Lytechinus pictus: one gene and its partner. The protein of the gene in region 2 purifies or fractionates together with the protein of the main gene of each other region. This does not show direct contact. Links are inferred from orthologs where the notes say so. Each region holds a gene or a part of one and is shown on either strand. Other genes may lie near its edges.

Evidence for each region. Proteins that work in one complex are often made in the same cells at the same time.
Region 1: the proteins of mitochondrial carrier homolog 2-like (region 2) and OCIA domain-containing protein 1-like purify together in Homo sapiens (affinity purification with mass spectrometry; 3 studies listed by BioGRID and IntAct, with this or other methods). This does not show direct contact. The link is inferred for Lytechinus pictus from reciprocal best matches to the Homo sapiens genes MTCH2 and OCIAD1.

What each region holds. Positions count from the first base shown.
Region 1 is NC_087259.1:24,749,812-24,757,629, reverse strand, and holds the start of OCIA domain-containing protein 1-like, read left to right. Parts: upstream 1-4,745; 5' UTR 4,746-4,923; intron 4,924-7,212; 5' UTR 7,213-7,220; coding exon 7,221-7,818. UniProt on the Homo sapiens protein: Maintains stem cell potency. Increases STAT3 phosphorylation and controls ERK phosphorylation. May act as a scaffold, increasing STAT3 recruitment onto endosomes. Involved in integrin-mediated cancer cell adhesion and colony formation in ovarian cancer.
Region 2 is NW_026974141.1:12,878,993-12,886,610, forward strand, and holds the start of mitochondrial carrier homolog 2-like, read left to right. Parts: upstream 1-4,553; 5' UTR 4,554-4,639; coding exon 4,640-4,735; intron 4,736-6,570; coding exon 6,571-6,655; intron 6,656-7,618. UniProt on the Homo sapiens protein: Protein insertase that mediates insertion of transmembrane proteins into the mitochondrial outer membrane. Catalyzes insertion of proteins with alpha-helical transmembrane regions, such as signal-anchored, tail-anchored and multi-pass membrane proteins.

The DNA.
Region 1 (7,818 bases), on a different chromosome or scaffold from region 2:
GAGCGAACCCCCTCCCCAAAGCCCCTCCCCTTAATTGGCGGTGCAAAAAGGGGGTAGGGCCTATAATTATAGGCCCTGTCATAGAGAAAAAATGTATTTTTCATCTTTGTGGGGATGGGGGTACAATCACCTTTGCAGGTACTTTCATAATATTGCTACCCCCTTCTCTAGTTATGTTTTTAATGCTGTTTAGTGACCGTTACATTACAACTAAGCATTACAACGTAATGAGTCCCCTAAATTATTGGGGAGGGGGCAATGTGATGTATGCAAAATTTCAAAACTAGTCTCGAGAAAGCAAAGCGAGTGAGAAAAAATATGCCCCTATAGGCCTACCTATTTTCAATTCGAAAAGCTAATTTTGTGATAAATTTTTACAATATATTATTTTTATAGAGTATAATTTTCTTTCTCTTCTATCTTGGTTGTGGAACTTTTTTCTGAGAAGGCATGGCCCCAAGTCCCCATGCATCTATACGCCAGTGATCAATACTTTTGATCACGTCTAAGAACAGAACTTGCTACGATTTCAATTCTTTTCTTTTCATGTACCTGTTTCATAATCAAGAATGCGCGTTTGAAAGTTTCTTTCTTCACCCTATAAAATTCCCAAGCGAGCGAGAGAAAAAAATCACCTTTTCATTAGAACCTTACTTTTCCTTTCATATTCTTTTTCTCCTTTCTTTTTTTTGGGTTCTTATTGGACCGTAGAACTTACACCAGTGCTATGTGGATGGGGTTTGAGGCCGGGGGGGGGGGGGATACCACTGAACTGGAAATATTTCGTATTTCCAGTTCAGTGGGTGGTACTTGGATTATGATTGGACGGGAGTGTGAGGCTCGGGGCTTGAAACCCCTACCCGTAAGGGTCATTTGACCGTAAACAGGTTGCATGTCTAAGGACTTTTTCTCAGAATACAGACCCATGCCTAAGCATTTTTTTTTAATATAGACAAAATTTCCAAATTAATTCTGCCTTTTTTTAACCGTGAGACCATCGCATTAAAAATAAAAACACATTATGAAGTCTGATGTGACGTATTTCCGGGGACTTTTCCCGGGGATTCTCATAAATATTTTTTATCAGAAAAGAATTATTCAGTTGAAAAATAGAACCCATGGCTAAGGAGTTCCTGCAATAGCAAGACCCATGTCTAAGATTATTTTTTTTGCATAAAACGACCCACTGGAGCGGCACATCTCCGTATGCGATATACACGCAAGTACCCCCCCCCTCCCCCGGGGTTTATTATTAACAAGGGTTTGAGGGGCGGAGCCCCCGTCACCTTTCGACGTTCAGCCATTTTAAACCTTAAAGATGGTCGCTATTTTTGATAAAATCGCTTGCATATGTTTTATCCAACACTACACGCAGTAAACATTTTGAGGGGCACCACATGACAAATGTTGGAAATTTCAAAAACGTCGCGAACGAGAAAATTTTTGGCCTTTGAAATTCTTATTATGTTACTTAAAGGAGCATATCTAGCCATTGGCTAAGGGTATATGAAAAATGAATACATATGCATATTATGCATACATATACAGTGCGTCCCAAAAAAAACTATACACTTTTGAAATGGCTGCCAAATTAAAAAAAAAAATATCACTTTGGGGGGAAAGACTTATATAATTATATAGAAAGGCAATAAAGTAAACTTTCAAATGACACCAAAAAGTAGGAAAACTATTCATACTTGAGCGAGCGCTGCCCATTGAAACAAAGAGTATGAAAATTAAGCTGGGTCGGAATTAGCCTTCCAATTTCTTTCAGGTTTTTTTTTTGGAACTTGCAAAGTTGAGGGTTTTGTGATGAATTAATGATCAATTGTGATCAGTTTGTTGTTTGAGAGAATTTCATGATTTATTAAATTGAAATTTAATGCATGAGTGATCATGAATTGCAATTTTTAGTGCAGCATTTTTATTTATCATGTGCATGGATCGCAGCAATGTGTTCATGAGAGTCGGGAGAATAGGGGATAAGATAGGACTTAAGTAGGTAAAGTACGTTGATGGGATAAAGGTCAACAGAACATTTAGCAACCCCTCCCTCCATCTCTACCCCCTCCCCCGCTTCTCCCCCCCCCCCCCCCCTGAGAGACTATATAAGCTTAGCTGGGCAGGAATTAGCCTTACAGTTTTTTGAGAGGTTAGTTCTTTGGAACAAAGCTAAGGGCGTTATGCTAAATTAATGAGTGAGATAAGTTATGGTTTCTTAGGAAAATTTCACGAGTGACTAAATTGAAATTTAGTGCATGAGTGAACAGGAATTGTATTTTAGTGTAGCATATTCATCTTGTTGACCTCACCAGTGTGTTCGTGAGAGTCAGGGTAATGTGATGGTATACCCGTTATACAAGCAAGAGGTATGGTAGACTTCGTTAAATGGTAATTTCTCTTCTTTGTGTCCTTTTACAAATTAAAAGTCATAATTATGTATCCCCCTCCGCCTCCATTTTCCTGGCTCCTTCTCTCTCTCTCTCTCTCTCTCTCTCTCTCTCTCACTTCCTGGATTGTAGCCTATTAAAAAAAAATGAATGTTTGATTGATCACACTGCACATTGAATGAGTTTATTTATTGATAAATTGTTGATTAAATGATTGATAGGAATAAGTTGATGCCCCAATTCAGAATCTGGACTTCACGTGTACATGACAATAGCAATCAGTCTCTCAACAGGAGGGGAGGGCGGGAGAGAGGGGGAGGGGGCTACATGTTCTGTTGACCCTTATTCCGTCAACCTACTTCTCCCACTTAACTCCTATCTCACCCCCTATTCTCCCGACTACATTGCTGAGATCCACATGATAAAGTTGAAATGCTGCCCCAAAAAGTGTAATTGTGTTCACTCATGCATTAAAATTAAATTTGATAATTTATGAAATTTGCTTAAACAACCAAAACTGGTCACGGTTGGTCATTAATTTATCACAACACCCTTAAACTTTACAAGTTCCAAGGGATTTGCCTCTCAAAAACTGACAGAAATTGGAAGGCTAATTCCAGCCCAGCCTACTAATTTTCATACCCTTTGTTTCAGTTGGCAGTGCTCGCTCAAGCATGAATAGTTTTTCCAATTTTTGGGTGTCATTTGAAAGTTGACTTTATTTGCTTCCATAATGTGTAAGTGCTTTTCCCAAAAGTGATATATTTTTTTTATCAAAGCTGGAGGCCCGGGTTCGATTCCCGGCAGAGACATTTTTCGGCATCACCAATTTTTCCAAAGGGCAGCTCTGGGGAACCTTGATATGAAGCTACGCCTACCATTGTTCTCTTCATTCATTTCTTTCACAACATATTTGAATACAAATAGTTGCCAAAGCAGTTGTACATGTATAATGTCTCACATTTATATATATATATATAGGAAATGAAACCCAAGATAGCTTGTGCAAACTTTTTACAGAAAAATCAAACTCAGATAAACAAAAGTTTGAGAAAATTGAATGAAAAATAAGAAAGTTATGAGCATTTGAAAATAAGATCATTATTGTAATGTATAGATCCTCCCATTGGTAATGCGACAAAGATGTGTGATGCAATGTGAACAACTTTCCCATTACTATTAGTTTATATACCTCTATGATTTCACTTTAACTCTTTTATCACATCTATCAGTAGATCACACATTTTTCTAGAGGGAGGCATGTGTAGATTCTCAAATAATAGATTATGGATAAAAAGTTTGAATCACCCTAAGAAAAAGCAAAAATAGAGTTTCTGGGTATTTTATAGTCCATCAAAGGGAAAGTTGTTCACATGTGACGTCACAAATATTTGTCGTTTTGCCAATTGGAGGATCTCAATAGCATTAGTGATTACAATATTTAAATGCTCATAACTTTCTCAATATTTGTCCGATTTTTCTCAAACTTGCTTTCTTTGATTTTTTGTTTTCACAGAAGCCAACCTGTATCAAAGGTAATAGCAACACTATAACAGAAACTATCTATACCGAAATACGTTATTCCATTCTTTATTGCCGCTAATCCTCGGCAGCTCGTATGTTAGTCTTATATTCTTCTCTAATGTTTCTTTTTTTTTCTAATTCAGGTTTTCCCTCTATTAGTTCATTACATTCTACCTTCATTTCCGTTTTCCTCGTTAATTTCCCTTTCCCGTCATGAATTTCCGTTTCATTTTGTTATCTTTAGCTATTTATTTCCCTTTTCTCATTCATTTATTAGTATTTTGGGATGATTTTTTTCTTTCTCTGTATTCTTCTTTCATTCCGTTGAAACTTTCTTCCCTCTTTTTCTTCCTTTTTCCCATTATTTTTTCTTTCTTTCTTTATTTTGTTCTCCCTTTTCGGTTTTCCCGGTGATCCGCGGGTGGGGGGGGGGGGGGGGGGAGCCTGCCCCCTGCCCTCCCCCGCCTGTTACTCCATATTGTATCTATTTTCACGAACAGAAAAGAGATTTTAAAAACATGTGAATGTTTGCCATCAGTCGACTTATGAGGTGAAAAAAATAAGTGGCCAAAGAAAACATTGCATACGGGGAAATTTACGAAAAGTCGCCATATATGGTGCGAACCGGTGCGAAGCAATAAGCAAGCAAAAATTTTTGACCCCGCATTAGTTAGTCTGACATTATATTCAGAATATATTATGGTACAATATAATACTTCACACATTTGTTTTCCTTTTCTGCTCCTTCTCCCTTTTATTCTCAGTGGTGGAACTTTTGGAGGACCAGGGGCCTATAGGGTACAGTGCCCTAATAGTCCCGCTAATAGTACAGGCCTAACGTGTATTTATCGCCAGTGATCTAGATCTAGAATAATTTCTAGAAAAATTATACAACATACCGTACTTTGGATTTCACAGATACCGTATCGAAACTCGACTGTGTCTTGAAAAGTCGATTTCGATATGGATTAGTTAGGTGTTTTTCAGATGATCTAAGGACGATAAATAGGTAATTATCCAATGGGCAGAGAAAGAAATATCTTGGCATTAGAATGGGGAAAAACTATCGTAAATTCAAGAATGTGAGGGATGATCCCGGCGCGAGTTACCGTAGCGTAGGCGGTGCGGTACCATACCGGATCCATGGACCATTGCATTACCAGCGCGCGCGAGACTGAAGCTCTAAAGCTAAAGGGGATTTATCACGTTTCCGTGACTTTCCGTGACCTACTTTAAAGTTTGATTTGAACTTCAAAGAAAGTCTTTTTTAGTTTGATGACAGGACTAAAAATATTGTTCAAACAGAGCTGGAATTTGTGCAGTACCCTTGTATGTAAGGTTTGATCAGTTAGATTTTGGAAGTGGAACCCAGGGGCCCGTTTCTCAACACATGGACAAGTTAGTCATATCTTTATCCACCAACCACGGAGTTAGTTCCAATCTTACTAAACCTGTTTCTCGAAAGGTTTCCTAATTAGAATACCTTGATATCGATACTATCGGTAGAAAGTGCAGACGAGACGTAGCCTTAGTCACAAAATAGCATAATAGTCAAAAAGAAAAATTATGACAAAATTGCAAATGTTGTGATAAATTGGGAAATAAATCTTTTCAAAATAATAGCACAGGTGAATTATGCATCATACATACTTAGACCATGAAGACTTGAGCATTCAATTGCAGAGAAAATTAAATTATGAATAATTCATTTCATGACTAAAAAATCACTGGTGGACGTTGAGATTGGGTACCCCCGGGATATCCAATTTTAATAGTTTACGAAAGTAAACCATAACGGTTTTCTTTGTAAAATGATGATAATTATGCGGTCTTTTACGATTCCGAACGTCATCAAAATATAGTTCAACGAAACATTTTTAACCATTGATACCGAAACATACGATATTTGACAAATTATATGCATAAATTAGAGATATAATTTATCCAACTGTTAATAGGGGTCTGAAAACAACAAATACGAGTTCAGTTATGGATGGCCTGACGTGGTAGAATATTTATCGATTAAATCATTTTACTATTTCAAAATGAATGGTTTTGTGGCGTTTTACCAATAGTTTTTATAGTTTCTTTGTATTACAATTATCATTGAATGCATTAACCCACTTGTTTTATGATGTAATTTCAACCTCTATGATTTATTACGTAAGATTATAATTTTAAAATTTCTATGCGCTTTTGCATGTCATAGTCTACCCACGTGATGCCACTACGTCATTAAGAAAGAAGTTATGACAGGTTCGGAGCTGTCATAAATATTTAGTGAGGTTGTTGTACCCGATCTTGGTAAAGAGGGCTTCGTGAAACGGTTAGCGGACAAGTAGCTCACTATCTCCGATTTAGTCAAGAAGTTAGACTTATGACGGTGTTGAGAAACGGGCCCCAGTTTATCATTTTTTTAAAAGAAAGTTCAGAACAAAAAAATATTGCAGAAAATCTTGGCAATGTCAACTCTTTGCTTAAAGGAGAATGAAACTCTTGGAGCAAGTTAGCTTTTGTGAAAGCAGAAAAATCAAAGAATAAGATCAACAAAATTTTGAGTAAAATAGGACTAGCAATAGAAGACTGAGAGTTATGAGCATTTGAATGTCGAGATCACTAATGCTATGGACTAAATGGAGATCCTCCTATTGGCAATGCGACCAAGATCTATGATGTCACAGATGAACAACTCTCCCCTTTTGGACACTGAAAATATACCCCAAAACATCTCTTTTTGTTCATTCTAATCATATGACAAACGATTCATCAATGATATAATGTTGTGAAACCTCTGTACTTGTCCTCTCATAAAGAGAACATCTCACCTTGTGATAGACTCTATAAAAGTGAAAATATAAGTGAAATAAGTACTAAAGTAATGAGGGAGTTGTATGTGTGTGACATCACAGATCTCGGTCGCATTGCCAATGGGAGGATCTACATGGCATTAGTGATCTCAATATTCAAATGCTCGTAACTTTCTTATTATTCATTCAATCTTCCTCCAACTTTCAACAATATGTTTCTTTGATTTTTCTCTTTGATATGGATTCAGCTGGTTTCAAGTGTTTCATTCTCCTTTAACCTCTTCCTGTCCTACAAAATATCTTTTGAATTTCACACTTTTTAATTTTCATTGAAAGAAAATTATCATTACTTAAGGGGTACGATCTATGATGCAACCTCACACCGTAGACTTAGTGTGACGTGAGTCTGACTGAGTGTGTACATGTAGATCTCAACTTCAGAGTTATTATCTTAATAATTGGTGAAAGTTTCTTTTTATTCTGCCTTTCAGATTAAACCATGGCAAAATATTCAGACAACACACCTGAGAATCCATCTCCTGTCGATGCAACCATTCAACAACAGATGAAGGAAGGTCGCTACCAGTTCACAGACGAGGAAAAGCGGGCTTTGCGAGAATGTCGATTTGAGAGTTTTTGGTACAGTTCCTTTCCTATTGCTGCTGTGTCTGGACTGTCAACACACATGCTTGTGCAGAGAGGAGTCCTGAACCCTAGCAAACGCTTTGGTTCCATCCCAAAGGCGGTGTTTGCCACTATGTGTGGCTACATCTTTGGCAAGATGCTCTATGTTCAGAAGTGCCGTGAGAAGTTCCTGAAGCTTGAAAACTCCCCCTTTGCAGAGATGATGAGGAGGGGTAGAGGGGGCATGCCACCTGCTGAGTTTGGCGGGATGAGTATACCTGGGTATGGAACTGGAAGCAACCCACCTGTAGAGGAAGAACTTTCTGTCGATGATAACTTCCGACCAGACACACCTTGGAGTGGAGGACACGACCAGAGATTGAACATGGATATAGATACCAGTCAAGTCAAGGGAATAAACAGCTTCGATTCTGACCTCGCTAAGCATCACGAGGATGAGAGGGCAGCTTCAA
Region 2 (7,618 bases):
GCGCATGGTATCCAATCGTCAATGGAAGTGCCCCCTGGGGTTCTTAAGTTATATCAATCCCTTCTCACTCTCCATTTTATACGGAGCCACTAAGGTAACATGTTTTTTTTCTTAACTCGTTACCACGAATTGTAACTTGTCCCCGCGTGGAGGTATTAAGTCGTGATATACTATTTAGTTATAATAAGTCGAGGGAACGAGTTATTATAAGTCGAGGCACCATGTAAGTCGATTGAACAAATTATATAAGTCGATGGAATTATATAAGTTGAGGAAATGAGTTATGAGACATGTAAGACGAGGGAACGAGTTAATATGAGTCGAGGCAACGAGGTATGTTAGTTGAGGGCAAGAGTTATATAAATCTGAGGGCATTGGCTATAAGCCGTGTGAATGAGATATATAAGTCGAAGGAAAGACTTTTTATAAGTTGAGGTAATGAGCTATGAAAGTCAATTGAACGAATTATTTAAGTCGAGGGATTGATATAAGCCGGGAACGAGTTATGTAAGTCGAGGGAACGAGTTACAAGTTTTACAAGTTGTAGTTATAAGTCGAGGAAACAGGTTTTAAGGAATGATTTACATTCGAGGAAATGAATTATAATCACTTTAGGCATGTTGGTGGTTCTGTATCATCGATTCCCTTCCCGAATTATCAATACAGTGCGTCCCACAAAAAACGAAACCGAGATTTATCGATGATTTATCATAACTTAATCACAAATACAATAGACAAATGACCTACCATTGTAAAGCTTAGAATCTCCTCTTTCATCTGAAATTCCTTAGATTATTTCTCATTCACGCATGACTGAGCAAAAACAATTTGAAGAAGGGATACCAAAAAGTCATTTGGCGGGCTGTATCTGGGTTTCAAAAAGAAAACCAAATTTTTATAAAGTTCAATATCTGCTCTTTAATTTGATACCTCAATTACAGAAAATGGTTAAGAAATAAAAAAGTTCTGGTTATTTGAAATAAGGCTTGAATTTCAATAATTTCATAAAATTAAGAGGTTCTACAGGCTAGCGTTCAAACTCACTTGACAGTCCGTTTTGTTGACGATCAGCCATGCATTAAGTCTTTTGTTAACCATCCGATTGCTTCTGTGGGAAACCGGTGAAAACACGTTTATTTAATGAAATTATGGAAATACAAGCATTGTTTCGAGGGAACATAACTTTTTTACTTCTTGACCATTTTTTGTGATCAAGCTATCAAATAAAGAGCAGATATTGAACTTTTTAGGCATGTGATTTTCTTTTTGAAATTCAGATACCCCCCGCCAAATGAGTTTTTGTTATCCTTTCTTCAAATTGTTTTTGCTCACTCATGCGTGAATGGGGGAAAATCTAAGTAATATCAGATGAAAGAGGAGATTCTAAGCTTTACATTGGTAGGTCATTTGTCTATTGTATTTGTGATTAAGTTATGATAAATCATCGCTTAATCTCGGTTTCGTTTTTTCTGGGACGCACTGTATAACCCCCTTTCCATTATACCGAGTTCCTTTAGGCATAGGCCTATAATTATCTCCATCATGTCCATGTCCCATTTTATTTCGGTTTATTTTCATTTTGTCCAGTGCCAATTCGTTCATTTGCCAACTCGTCTACTATTATTAATTTGGTCTACCATCAGTTCGTCCAATATCCACATGATCCATTTCGTCCACTCACCATTTTGTCTCATAACCAGTTGGTCTAATAGCCATTCAGTCCATACCATTTGGTCTAATTAGACTAAGTGTTAATAGGGCAAAATAAATTAAAATAAAACGAGGATTGGACCAAATGGTTATGAGACGAAATGGTCATAGACCAACTTGTGATTAGACGAAGTGATGATTGGACCAAAAAAATGATTATTGGACCAAAAGGTTGTTAGAAGAAATGTTGATGGACGGACTGGCATTAGACTAAATGAAGGTAGACCATGTGGTGAGTGGACGAGTTGACAGTAGACGAATTGACAATTTACCTTTTTCTTTCCTATGTCGCTGCTCCTCTCTTCCCCTCTCTTACTCCCCCCCTCCACTCTAAGTGACGTAAATATTGTACAATCTTAAGACAGAATGTTTGATTTAGTAAAATACCCTAAATGCCGAAAAATGGCACAATTTTTTTTCTGGAGTTTCTGCATTAATTATTGTATAATCAAAATAAATATACAACACACGAACATAATGAAATACATTACAATGTGACAACTTTATAATAGATCGGATATTACAAAGCTTAGACAAACGTAAAATATTGTAAGTACAAGGTATAGAAATTAAGTAAACTACAAAAAATGCACTTATTTAAAGAGCAATCGTCGACAACGCAGACAGATGCTCTGAAAATGAACATTTAATTTCAACACTTTTTTTTGCATTATGCTGAGTCCCCCCCCCCCCACAATATGGTTTCTTTCGGCTGTTATTATGGATAGGATGGTGTTTACTTATGGGCGGCACACGGGCGGATCCAGGATTTTCCAGGGGGGGGGGGCACAATTCGAGTCCCGATGAAAATTTGACAAGTAAAAAAGAAAAAAAAAGGGGGTTTTTACCTAAAATTTAAGGTCATTTCGTCAGCAAAAAATTTGAGAACCAACAAAAAAAGATAAAGTAAAAGAAATGTCCTCGCTTTCAAAAGAGCCGGGGGGGGGGCACACTTGGGTAAAAATGACATATCTACATTAAACATTTTGATTATGACTCTCAAAAGGGGGGGGGGGGCACGAGCCGGATGTCCCCCCCCCCCCCCTGGGTCCACCACACCAACAGTGGGCGGCAGCCCCGTGGGGGAAGGGGCGTCCCTCGAATTTTTTTAATGGGGAGATTGTCCTCCTTCGATTTTCAAAATAAAGCTAAGAAAATGTACTTAATATTACCCCTACCCAGCTAAAAGCAACTTTTAGCTCTTCAAGCAACCGATCGGGGAAAACTGTGGATGGAATTTTTCCTGCTTGCTGAGTAGCTGGCTCCGCCCCCCTCGAAACGGTAGGTTAGGGAGGAAAATTAATCAAAAACATATGCCTCCTCATCAGGATTGACAAAACGGAGGGGAAAATAAAAAGAAGGATTAAAAAAAATAAAAAAAAACAATAACACTTTTTTTTATGGTTGTGCACAACCGAGGGTGTGGGTGTGTGAGCGTGGGGGGGGGGGTGGTCCGTGAACATGGAGCATGGTTCCGTGGTTACTTAGTATTCCATTCATGTGCTTGTATTAAAAAAATTCTTCTGGATAATGATGATGAAATATGATGATGAAAAAGAGATGACCTAAAATGGATAATTGGCATTCTACACATTCGGCCAAGACACTGGTTGATCCACGTCCAACTCGGTAGACTCCTCCCTAAAACTCGGTACACAAGTTGTCGAAAAGGGGTCCACATCGCATATAGGCCATGACCAGGGACCATGCAGGCCTGTATAGGAAAGAGACAGGGGCGTATAAATGAGCCAGAAATTTCGAGGGGGCAAGATATGGCATATCGGGCCAAATTAAAGTTGCGAACAAGCGAAGCGAGCAAATTCATTTTATTACAAAACTTATATCCAATGACATAGTAATAATCAGAAAATAGTATTTCACCCTTTTCTCTTTCCTTGTCTTCCCTTTGCTCTTTTTTCTTTGATTGATTGCATTTATTCTTTTTCATTCCATAATTCAACAAAAGTTACAATCTAAAGCAAAACACAAAAATATAATATACAGAAATGAAAAAAAGGGAACCCACTGGAAAGCAAAGCTTTAGTATGGGTTCCCTGCATTAAATAGTTAAAGTATATTTTTGATCAATGAAATTCAAATCGTAAATTAAAAAGGTTTGTAAAATGAAAAAGAATACTAGTGGGGTCATGCTTTTTATGCCTACTCACTATGACACTATGTGACAATTAACAACAAAAATATCATATCATACCCATTCTTTGTCGTGAAAATTTTTGGCCAGGCAAGCGGCCCCAACTCCCCCCCCCCCCGGCTCCTGGTAGAGAGACTGGGAACATTATAGGAATAGAGACTGATCTGCCCTATTGTACCTAAACTCAACAAAGTGAACTTACTAACACACCTCTTTCTCTCTTTTATTTTTGAAGCGCATAGAGACATAATTTTTATTTTGTATGTGATATTCGCTATTATTATCATTATTGTTAGCTAGTTTGATAGACGAGGGAGAGAGAGAGAGAGAGGGATTTGAAATTGAATGATCATGATAGGCTTACCTATCATGGTGTCAACGGGCCGATTTTTGTGAATTTTCATGTCTTTTTTTAAAGGAGTTCTTAAAAGATTAGAGAAATAGCATAATTCCAGCTTGACTGAAAAAACTTGAAAACCCCAAATCTCAAAAGTAACAGATCACATCCAGTTAAAGGAAAAAAAAACTAAGCCAGAAGTCCCGATCAAGAATATTTTGTGCAAAAACAAGACTTAAAAAGAAGAAAGAGTTCCCGAAAGAGCTGATAAGGAGAGAAAACTGAATCATGGCAAATTTTACAACCTGAAAACTGCATAGGGCGAGTTTCGAAATTCATCTGTCCTTACCCGGTAATTCTATGGGCGAGTTGTTTCGGAATCGCAAAAAAAGTTAAAGTCCGCTGTTTTTGGTCGTTAATAATTCAGAAAGAGATAGAAAATGGCAGCTGTAAATGATCCATGGATGCAAATCGTGGCCAATATTGGTCTTGGAGCATTTAGCCACCCTATGGGATATGTGAAAACGTTGATTCAGGTAAGACAAGTGGCTTATTTCCAGTGACTAATGAGTACATCGCGTAATCCGTGCGGAGCCCGAGCAGTGCTGCTATTTTTAGCGGGCCGAGTGTTCATCTCCCCGCTGCACTAGGCGAGATCCTTAGTGTATGAAGGGGGTTCTCATGCCTTGGTTGCGCCGGTTGCGCAAAAAAATTAATTTATAACTTTAAGTTTATCATTGCATCTAATCATGAAGTCATTTAAATATTCCACAAGGGTTGATTTGTATTGTTGTTACATTCTAAAGAGTAAGTGTGCCCAAAATAAATCTTATCAAAATAGGATTAGGAATAGGATAGTAGGAGCAAAATACATGAATATCCAGGCCAGGGGCATGGCAGGGCCAATGGCATGCGAGGCAGGGGCACTTGGCTGATCCCGGAGATCTACAGTTGGTTGCTGCATAGACCAAAAGCTTCAGTCTCTGTATTTTGGTTGTTCCGCTGAACTACGTTGGCTCCACTCACCATACATAGACTGAAGGGGATGGGGCCCCGTACCTACACTCTACAGCCAACGTATAGTGAACTAGCGTTTTATAGATCGCGATTTATAACTGTTTTTTAAGCAAAATTGAAAGTTTCATGGTTTCCATTATCAGGGAAATATAAATAAATTAAGTAATTGCATACCTTGGGCCGGAGTTATTGAAAAAAATCCTCTGGATGATTGAGAAATCTGTCATCTAAGACATTTTCACCTGACCTGACGGTTTTTCTTGCAAGTTGCCATCTTGAATGACGTCATTATCGTTATTAACTTAATGTCTCGAATCGATATATCGCGATTATAACTAGAACTAGTACTAGTATAACTAGTATCGTTTATCTTCGGTTTCGTTCACATATGGAGCAGATCGTATAATATCGAAAGCAATATCGATATCACATTCGTGATTGTTGACGTTCGTTTGTAAATATTTTATAGTTTGGCTGCCATTTTGACCATTTTTATCGTGTTCAACCCAATTAAACATCGGTAAAGTATATTTTTCATGCCTTTTTCATCTATATCGTTTAAAGTATTCAAATGTTGGAATATCATGAATTAAAAGTTTGTTGTTTATACATCCTTAGATTGTAAATTCGATGTGTAAAATTACATCAAACTTTGGACTGTGAATTGACAAAAGGGAGGGAATGAGAACACATGCGAGCCCACACGTACCGTACACCCTACCGTCGGTAAATGGGGATTACAGTAAAATGTCAGAAATTGTTGAATAAATCCCCAGAAACGACGGTTATTCCTGTCTAGTTGCTGCATTGTTGAAAAAATAGAGTTATAAGAGCACAAAACACTTCCTCTCTCTTTAATTGTGTAAATGGGATACAACTTAATTTCCACCATTTATACAATATTTATTTCATTTTAAAGCAAGAATTTATTGAAAAAAAACAAGAAAAATATTGTAACTTTTGAAGGTTTCCATGGGTGTGGAAACGACGAACAACAACAACAACAACATTCCATGGCAAAGAAGAATAACGTTAGTGTAGTAGGTTTCACGGTACACCATGTATCTTTCTTGGGCAAGTGTTGGTCCTGAAAAGGACCACCCAGATTGGGTGGTCCTTTTCAGGACCAACACTTGCCTGAGAAAAATACTATGAAAAGATGGAAAAGTTGCCGCGATGTTTACTTCGCCATCTTGTTCTTTTTGATCTTCACCAAGCTACGAGACGCATATCAGAGGATATGCATCTGAATGAGATTTAAGATTTTAAGATGATTTTAAAAATTGCAAGTTTTATCGCAAATAGATAGGGTAAGCCCTATTTATCCTACTGATAATAATTTTTTTTTTTGCAGCTGGGTTATGAACCTCTTCCCCCTCGTTTAGGAAGGAATGCCTTCTTCAGAGAATGCTACCAGCTGCCAGGATTTTTTCCTTATGGTAAGAAAGACTTGGGACAATTCCAGCATGAAACAGTCCTAGGCCCCATCTTACAAAGAGTTACGATTGATCCAATCAATCGTAAATATGGAAATCCATCAGTGTCATAATTTTTCTCCAGGAAATTTGCAAAATGTCCTCTGTAAACAAAGGAGAACACACCAAATTATCAAGAAATCAATGAATTTATGGATGTACATTCATATCTGTAAGACGGGCCCCTGGGCCCCGTCTTATAGAGAGTTGCGATTGATCTGATCAATCGCAACTATGGAAAGCCAGCAAAGGCAACATATAAAATGCATGTTTGCTCAAAACTTTTTCTAGATATGAATGTATCCATAAATTCATTGATTTCTTGCCAATTTGGTGTGTTCTCCTTTGTTTACAAAGAACATTTTGCAAATTTCCTATAGAAAAAAATATGACACTGATGATCCAATCAATCGTAACTCTTTGTAAGACTGGGCCAGACAGTTTCAAAGTATTACACTTCGAAATTGACAAGTTATTCAGTTCTCGCAGAGTTTATCAGACACTCTGGCCCGTATTCTGAAGTCTTTAACTTAGACCACGGTCTAACTCTGTGCTAAAATTATGGGGAGCCAAAAATTCAAAAATTCTGTTTATACTAGATATCTCTTACGTTTACTATTTTGTTTCCTGTTGCTTTCATAATGAAGAAAAATACTTCAGTTATCATTCCCAGACAGTTATGAACAATTTGAGTGTCAAATTAGTTAATAAATTGGATGTATACTGTTTGGGATTTGTGCCCCAATTGGCTCTTCATAGTTAAACCACAACTTTAAACCAGGGCTTAATTTAAACCTGAGTTCAGAATACGGGCCTTTGAATTAAAAAAAAAAAAATTCTCACTTCTCACATATCACTGTAGTTAAATTTTTTGAGTATTTCGTTTCATGTCTATTTTGAACAATAAAATATGGATTTTCATCTTTG